Linked DNA regions of Rattus norvegicus. The protein of the gene in region 1 interacts with the protein of each later gene in a biochemical or structural test. Links are inferred from orthologs where the notes say so. Each region holds a gene or a part of one and is shown on either strand. Other genes may lie near its edges.

Region 1 (4,731 bases):
TAAGCACTCTGAAGTGAGGGTTTGTAAATTGTTCTGATATTAATGTCTTCCATGTGGAGGGGTCCTAGACTGAAGAAAAAACAGAGTGAACCTTGCAACATTCATCATTGCTTTCCGTAGCAGGACTGGTGTTGCCATGTGCCCAGACGTTCCTGGGGCTGTTCTTCCCTGATTGACAGGCTCTCTCTGGGAACTGTGAGCAGAAATAAATCTTTCCTTCCCTTAACTGCTTTCTCAGGTATCTTGTCACATCCACTGACAAGCAACTACTACAATGAGTTATTAGAAGTTGAATTCCTACACATTTAACAAAATAGGAAGCAAGTCATCAGAAAATGCCAATCTGCATAGATTTGGGATATTAGACCATTGGGTTGAGTATCTCACTCCTGAAAGTTCTTATGGACTTAAGAAAATGCTTAAATGCTCTGTTCTCAGCTAATTTATCTATATGCTTGAGCTAGAGCAGTTAGCAAACCCTACACTGTATCACATTAGTGGTCCTACTTGTACTATTTTCTAGCTGGAATCTGTCATTAACATGCACATGAATAACTAAAAATTGTGCTGTATGTATTCAAACTATTGAATATTACATAGAAAGAAAAATGAACAATATGGAGTCATCTCCAGCAGATGAAGTTCTCAGTGAAGGACTCTACATAAACAAAGGAGTAAATTGCTTCCTCCACACTTACACAAAGTTCAGGTATATAAGGTCCATGTTCTTGGAGACACTGACAGTAGGTGGAAATCTGGAGGGCACAGAGGGGTTACCAAGGCTAGCAAGTTGGGAGTTGAGTATTGGCCTGGGTTCAACATCAATTCAGCATATTACAGACACTTTTTCACACCTCTGCTTTCTTATTATACAATACCGTAACTAGAAGCTAGAAAATTAGCATGTCAAATTGATGGATCTTTTGAGTTATTCATTCATAGCCAACGAGACACAGACCAGTTGCCTCACACATATAAAAAGAATTTCTTGGGAGACTCATTTCATGAATTTTAGAAAAACCAATCCCATAATCACCATCCCTCAGCATGACAGTCTTGACAACATTTCTGTACTATGCAGGGTGTTGGTCGTAAAAACACTGCCTAACGGAAGTTCCCTCAATGGTTTTTAAATTCGCCTTCATTGCTTTCTGTTCTGTGGTTTGTACACAGTAGAACACAGTTTCAAGGATTATGAAATCCAGCCCCTGCTCACATTTCCAGAAACGTGAACTTGTTTCCAAGCAAAACAAGCTGTGATTTACAAGAACAGCCCAGCAGGTCACAGACAGGGCGCAGTAACAGATGAGATCAAACGCCTATGCTGCTGGACTTGTGGTCTATCCTTTTAGTTTACTTTGCAGAAGTCGCTCATGGGTGGAGCATCTAGAAATCCTGATTTCCTAAACTAACTTTCAACTTCCCTTTGGGGCAAGTCTGTCTCTGCTGTAACCACAGTTCATAGCAGAGAGGAACTGGATGGTACAGCACATACTTCTCTTCGAGTCAACTGCTCCCAGATAGATCCAAGACATGAGACTGTCAGCAAGAATTATTTGGCTTATATTATGGACTGTTTGTGTAGCAGAAGGTAAGCTTAAAACCACCACCTTTCTCCCTTCTGACTGAGCCGCATTATAAAACATTTGCTGATAATATTTCTCATAGCAATTATTCAAATTAAGTCTAGAAAATGTGGGTAATTACTAGTCTGTAACTGAATGGCTTTTGGTGGTAAGTTTAAAAACCGTGAACCTTTCACTTGACTATTGTAATTGATAGTTCAGCTTGATGTAAAACTCAAGACAGTGCTTTAAACATGTTTTTGCAATCCATAATTAGGCATAGACATTTAACTTGTAGTTATCAGGAAATACAGGCTCCTCTTTTTCTCATGAGTGTCCCTGAAGTACTATATGTAAAACTAGTTAGAAATATATAAATATCCAAAGTCAATGAAAGCACTTACTTTTTTCTTTAAATGGGTGGATCGATTTCAGGCTTATTTCTAAACCTTCCTAACTACATCACTTAGCTGATATTTCCATGGTTTTAAAAGTTTCGTATGTAAGACCTTCAAGTATGAGATAAAAAGAAAATAAAATTTGACATGTAACCTGCATTGGACGGATCTGATTTGTTTCTGGTTTTGTTTTCTGTGAATACGTGTGGGGCATGTTTGTTTCTGAAGCCATTTTGAAGTAGGTAATGTGACTGTCGGAGTTCTTTCATGACAATAACAGGGTCTGACTTTATTATTCACTTAAATTCTCCCAAGACTGCTTAGTTTATCCAATGAAAGAGCTTTGCTTTCCCAGTTTAGGAAGGGTACCTAGTTGTGGGATAAACATTTAATCAACTCTTCTTTGTGTTTTGATTGTTTAAGATAGGGTGTCACTACACCCTTGAGCTCACTGTAGTCCTCTTGTCAGCAGCTTCCTATGGGCTGAGGTTACCAGTGAGAGTGACTGCCATGCCTGACTTAGCACTTTTTATATAAAGTGAATGACATAACTTTAATAACTTCCTTAAATGTTTCTCTTAGCCAATGCATTGTAATTTGAAGCTTTGCTGTAACCACTACTCAGTAAAGAATACTAAAATTATCCTCTGACTGGATGTTTACCAACCCACATAAGAAGAGTAGATATGGTTTCTCAGTTGTATCTTTTACTAAAATTCTGAAAAAAAAATTTAAGGGTATTTTATACTTTTTGAAAGAGTAAACATTTTCAATTATATTTTTTAATGTTATTCCTTGAATTTTAGCTTAAGAGTCTTGTATTCAGATGCCTTATAGACTAAGGCAGTCATTTCCTTGTATATGAAAATATAAGTATTGCTGAAATGAAATGTGATTATATTGGCCAGGAATTCTAAAGCAATGTTGATATTACCAAGCATAACTAAACTTTTTATTTTGTTAAAGGCAATGTTTTCATCGCTTATTTTAGTGTTCTACTTGAATAATAATGTTTACTAAGAGGTTTTTAAAGATATATAAGATTAAAGAAAGAACTATTTTATGTTTAGCTAACTTTTAAGTCTTAATTGATATAAATCGAATTAAGGTGTCTACACAATTACAAAGCAGAATTTCAATATTAAAAAGGAAGTGCCGCGATGTTTGCGTGATACTTTAACGCTAATGATTTAAAAATCCTCATTTATGCCATGGATGTCAGCTGATTTTTTTGTTATTGCTGGATTTGAATTTTCATCAGTATGTATTCAAATGTGGTGCCAGTTCTTGCTGATGAGGTGGGCAGTTACACTGTGTCCGATACTGTTTCACAGGGATTTTCCTTTCATTCACAGATGAAAAGAGAGTTTAGTTTCTAAATCATTATGTAGGGTAACCTCATGGTCTCCACAAAATGAATGTAAACAGATGGGAGAAGTTTCATGGATTTTCAGTGGACACAGTACTCCCACTTTAGTCTTAGCTTGGCTGGTGACCCGTGTCTATCTCAAATGTAAACAATTTAATCAGTCTATCAACTTAAGAGGAATTTCAGCAGAAGAGCTTGGATCAATTAAAACAATTATGTATATGCTGCAATGTTTGCTCCTGTTTCTATTCTATTAGATGCTGGCTACTAAGCTGATTTAAAAAAAAAAAGTTTGTGAAATGCTCTCATATTAGGCTTTCTGAAACAGGGAAGAAAAGATTTCATAAGTATTTTCTGCCCTGATAAAGATCAACATTCATCTAAAACCAATGTTAGCTGGGCCAGCAGGAACGGTAAACACAATAATGATCTTGCTTGGCAAAGAACCTGGCTACTTGAGTTCAATTCATGGGCCCCACCTGGTGAAAGGGGGAAAAAAAGCCTCCTACAGACTGTCCTCCAGTTTCCTCATACAGGCATGGCAACTGTATGTTACACCCACTCAAATTAAAAGAAAATAATAACCATAACAAAAAATTTAAACTCCACTATTAATAATTAAAGAATAATAACCAAAAGAAGAACTATGAACCCAGCTTGTTTGCCTCCCTCCCTCCGTGCCCCTCTCTCTCTCTCTCTCTCTCTCTCTCTCTCTCTGTCTCCCTCCCTCCCTCCCTCTCTCTCTCTCTCTCTCTCTCTCTCTCTCTCTCTCTCTCTGTCTCCCTCCCTCCCTCCCTCCCTCTCTCTCTCTCTCTCTCTCTCTCTCTGTCTCCCTCCCTCCCTCCCTCCCTCCCTCTCTCTCTCTCTCTCTCTCTCTCTCTCTGTCCCCCCCCTCTCCTTTTCCCCTTTTCTACTTGCCAAGGGCTTTCTCATATCTTTTTAGTGCAGTGCTTGACTGTATTCACACTTCTAGCTGCCAAGAACAGTCAATGGTGCTTCCTGCAAAACCACACGCTGATCAGAATTGGGTCAGATTTACAGGACAACCTGTAACATAAGAGAGTTCCTTGGTTGAGCCGTATAATTTCAGTTCTGGGGAATGGATTATACCCAAGCTTTCCAAGCATTTTACTCTCACAATTGAATATTGTATGAAATTAGGCCGCAGCCCAGGATTGCTGAAATGAACCAATTAAACCTGTGCTGAAACAAAACCAAATAACCACTGCGTGCTTTCTGGGGAGATAAGTGTTTTCTAATCCTGGAGGTTTAAAGGACAAAAAGGTCCTTTCAGGCTTAGAGACTTTAATCATAGAATGGAGAATTGGTTTAATTCTATAATGTTTTAAGTATATGATTTTTTCAAACTTAGTTTAACATTGATGTGGAAAAATTGATG
Region 2 (4,658 bases), on another chromosome or scaffold:
TAGGGTCAGTCCAAAAAAATGTCAAACAAACATAAACTATCTCTTTTATTAATAGTCAAAGAAATATTGATATATAGGGAAATAGCATAAGAGCAATCATGGCAGCAATGCCCCCAAATAATAGCAGAACTCTTAAAAATTTCTAATCATTCATGAAAAATTTAAATGAGGCATATTCAAGATAAGATTCTTTTTCTAGCTACAACAATTAAATCAAATGATTGTGGGGACAAAAGACTGCCATTTGTGTGCATTTAGAATCTCCTGGCCTCTGTAAGTTTAAAGAACTGTCCAACGGAACATTCACTAAACCTAATTAACTGTCTTCCTGTTTAAATAGGCCAGGCAGTGCTGATTACACTCCCGGGTGGCCCGTGACTGTGTCTGGGAGACCCAGCATCTCTGGAGGCCATGGCAGCTATTTGGGTTCATGCTGTAAAGTAGTATGTTAGCAGATTTTGTGGGATTCTTTTGCAGAGCAGTGATCGAGTCCCTTGAGACCGCTTTGAAATGTCAGAAATTCTCTCATGAAATGGTTTTTAACTAATAACTCTTTGTAATTATATTATCAAAGACTAAGCAAAATGAAAACTAGGTTCTTAGGAGGCCGACCACAACATGATTAGGAATCCTCTGGGGGCCAGGCTGGCAGGAGAGAGAGGACAATTACAGCCTGCAGGGGGAAGTATTACTGGGTAATAAGCACCAACAGTTTAGAATTCGGGAATGTATATATTTTCTAACTAACAGGTGAGGATACAAAGTAATCCTTCCTTTGAGGGGCACATTATATGTTCATGACTCTACTGAGTTTGCAAAACAAAAAAATCCATGCCTTTAAAATTATCACAAAATGATCACAGTGAGGGTTTGCTTTAGATTCGACTTTATAGCTTTTCTCTGAAGATTTATTTAGGATTTAAGGGCATGGCCTCCATCCTTCAAATAGTTAGGAAGGACTGATCGTAGCGTAGTTGTTTCTGTAAAGGAATGGGCCATGCTCTGGGGTCTCCTACTTCCCACCCCATCCGATAAGCTCCATCTGATTGGAGATACAGTATGAGATGCTATTGTTTGTCATTGTTTCTGAGACTCAAGAGACGTGCCAGGGATATTTGTCAACATAGGACACTAATTTTCTAGAAAAATCTACAACAAAACATCACTGCCCCCATCAGAAATTTAACTTAAGAACCATATTACTAGGCTCCAATGTTCTTCCTGTTTCGTTAACTTTTAAGAGTGTGCCATTTTATGGGCTTTATGTGGGGTTTTGACAAGTTGCACAGCTTAAATAATCCCTTTCTTGTGTGCCCCACCCCCGGGACACAAGATGCAGGCATCTACATCCTCTGACTCCTGCGCCTGACTTTATAGGACATGCCCCAGAGCCTGCACCCCTTGACCATCACTGTTGAACTCAACTGGGATGAGGGAGTCCTGGAGTTCTGCTGAGTTTGCAGGAGATCCAATTAGGCTCCAGTCAGCTCAGAAGGAGTAGAGGGGGAGGAGTCGGCTAAGGGGCTGGGAAAGTCGCTGAAGTTAGTCCAGGCCCTGAAATAGTGCCGGGGAAACCAGAGCTGAGCTAAAGAGAGTGACAGAATAAAATTAGAAGACGTGGAAATCCCTAACGGAGGGACTCGGGGCAGCAAGAAGGATCACCGTTAAACACCTGCCAATGGACTCCTGTACTATCTGGTCGGATCCAGTGTCAGGGATCTCTGATATCTACTTCCAGACCGATGGTTAAATCCCATTTTCTTTTGGGTTCCTGAGGCTTTTAACAAGGCAATGAGCTTGTCTGGCGTGATGTGTCTGAGCTCTGTGAGTGTGCCTATGAAAAGTAGCCGGGTTCTGAGTCCCCCTCCGACCGTGGGCTCTACGCCGGGTGCTTACCTGCGGGTAGCCAGTGGCGAGCGACCCAGCTCTGCATGGCGCTCAGGTCGGCGCGCGTCCGCTGCAGTTCCTCCAGCACCGCTCCTAGGCTAGGCACTGTCGCCTCGTGTCGCCGCGCCTCTGCATCTTCCAGGCGTGCCAGCCTGCGGTTCGCGTCGCGGCTCTCCTGCAGCAGCGGCTCCAGCGCCTGTGCCAGCCTGGCGTCTGCCGGGCCACTGGCTGAGCAAGGCCTCGCCATACCGCCCGCCAGCCGCCCCAGTTCCGCCCGCAGCCTCTGCAACTCCCCGCGGAGGACGTCGTCAGTGGCCTGTAACAGCATGGCCTCCCGCATCTGCGAGTTCTCCAGCATGATGAACAGCTTGTCCCACTCCGAGTGTTCCTGGCGGCAGTCGCATGGTGTGGCTAGATCGCAGGACACACACATTACCAGCCTGTCCCGGCTGGCAGTGAGCTGCACTTTTGGTGACCCCAAGTTTAAGCCTGTCCCCAGCAACCCCTCTCCTTCTAAGGATAGCTGTGAAAACAGCGTTGTAAACTTCTCAAAGATGACATAGGACCATTCTTTCTAAGACATGTTAAGCTAACTGGGGAAATGCCATTTATGTAGCTAAAAACAGTTAAAGAGCCGTGATTTTGCATAGCTTAACTCATTGTAAGTGTTAGAAAAATAATTTAAAGCCTCTGGCTTTTCTCGGGCAGTCCTTGTTTTTACAAATAAAGTACAATTTTAGCTTGCTTCATTGGCTACTTATGTTAATTATGTTAATTAACCCCCCCCCAAGTGAGTTATGTAGTTTTGGTAAGCTGAGAAAGTTAAAATGAACTTACGGTCCTCGGTGGGATGAAGTCCATTGTCTATTTCGTTGTCCAAATTCACATGCATGAGCTCATAGTCATAGGAGGTCTCAGCCAACACTGCAGACCAGAGAGCACAAAGCAGAATCACAGGGAGATGCATTGCTGGAGAGGCGAAGTTTGCTCGCAGCCGCCACAGGGAAAGAAGCGAGGTTCTCTAGTGATCCGAGAGCCCGGGAGAGATAGAGCAAGGCAGGAGCGAAGCCCTTAATAAACGCTCCAAAGCCTGAACGGGATGAATGAGTAATGTCGGTGGCACAGCGCGAGGGAGTTCCCCTGGATTTGGGGGAGGGGGTTGGGTGGGAGGGCAAGGGAGCTGAAGAGGTTGCACAATGTTAAACCACCAAGGTCCACGCTGCAGGCAGATTAATTAGAGGCAGGCCAGGGGGAGAAGAGGAGGGAAGCTGGACTTTTCTGGTGCCCCTGAGGATTAGTTGCTGTAACCTGAAGTGCTAGCGCTTTGGGGGGTGGGCAACACAGAGATGTGGGGCAAATTATCATTTTGGCACTTGGTGTGAGCTTTCATTATTCCACAACCCCTGAAGTTACAGAAAACTTTTTTTTAACCTTTTTTTTTTTGGATACTTTCTCAAGTCCAATCTATAGAAAATGATTCTGACTCCAAAATAACCCAGCCCATTAAGAACTTATATGACTCTAGAAGTCAAATGCATCCTGATTGACTAACTTGTCTTTACTCCTCTGGAGTGGCAACTAATAAACACAGTACAACTGGGTAAAAACCCAATAAAACAGGAAAGGGAGGGCGGGAGTACCTCCCTTGAGGAGCTTGAGTACCTCTCAAGTTCCTGTTTTAAATTTAAATTAGTGACTCCTGGTGTGTGTGTGTGTGTGTGTGTGTGTGTGTCTGAACAAGCACTGAAAATCTGCCCCCACCACATGCAAAGTACCTGAATAGACGTTGATAGGTCATAATAATAGTGATAAAAAGTAAAACATTTAAATGAACTCCAAATAAAACAAGAAAACTACACAGTGGCCAAAGATCTAGAGATTACCACTCCCAGAGGGTCAGCTCCTGAGTTGATTCAAGTCCCCAATACACAAAAGAGATGGAGGGGAAGGGTTATCAGTCACAGTCTGATCATGAGGGGGAGACTACCCTCATGTCAGGTCTCTCAGAAGGCTGCCTTTTGGATTTCCATAGGTAAACTCCTCTCTCTGACCCTGCACAGAGAATCACAAGTGACTGAGTGCCCTCAAGCACCTGGACCACACATGCATGTACCATTCACCACAGTAAAAAATGAATCCATAGTTACACATAGCTAGACATTGATCTCAGAATAGGGCATCATGAATAAGAATCAACAGAAAGTAAAACAGCATTAGGCCCCTGCTCAAGAGCTTAACTTATTTGAAATAGCAGCTTAAAATGAGTATGTTTTAAAATCATTAAGGCCTCACAGAAAGAGATGGTCCTGTGAGACAATAGGATACTGTTTAAAGGGCAGTCAGGAGCCATAGCTTAGTAAAGTATTTCTCTCTGAAGACTGTGGACTCAAGTTCGATTTCTAGAGTCCACACTAAAAACCCTGATGTGGTGATGTAGGGTCCTAATGCCAGTACTAAAGAGAGGGCCCCTGGGAATCCCTGGCCAGACAGCTAAGCCTACTGAGCAAGTTAAAGCCAATGAGAGACCCTATCTGAAAAAAGCAAATGCAGGAGAACTGGATAAAAATGCTTACTGCTCCTTTAATGGGTCTGTGGATTGTAGCATGGTTACCTGGACTTTATAGCTAATGTCCAATTACAAGTAAGCACATACCATGGGTTTCTTTCAAGATGATATTTTCTAGTTCCATCCATTTGCCTGCAAATTTCATGGTGTCCTTGTTTTTAATAGCTGAGTAATATTCCATCACGTAAATGTACCACACTTTCCT

The links. The genes of interacting proteins can lie anywhere in the genome.
Region 2: the proteins of Cfh (region 1) and Ptx3 form a complex in vitro, tested with the Homo sapiens proteins (3 studies listed by IntAct, with this or other methods). The link is inferred for Rattus norvegicus from reciprocal best matches to the Homo sapiens genes CFH and PTX3.

The regions. Positions count from the first base shown.
Region 1 is NC_086031.1:54,161,277-54,166,007, reverse strand, and holds the start of Cfh (complement factor H precursor), read left to right. Parts: upstream 1-1,484; 5' UTR 1,485-1,533; coding exon 1,534-1,591; intron 1,592-4,731. UniProt on the Homo sapiens protein: Glycoprotein that plays an essential role in maintaining a well-balanced immune response by modulating complement activation.
Region 2 is NC_086020.1:152,795,919-152,800,576, reverse strand, and holds the start of Ptx3 (pentraxin-related protein PTX3 precursor), read right to left. Parts: upstream 3,015-4,658; 5' UTR 2,855-3,014; coding exon 2,725-2,854; intron 2,299-2,724; coding exon 1,897-2,298; intron 1-1,896.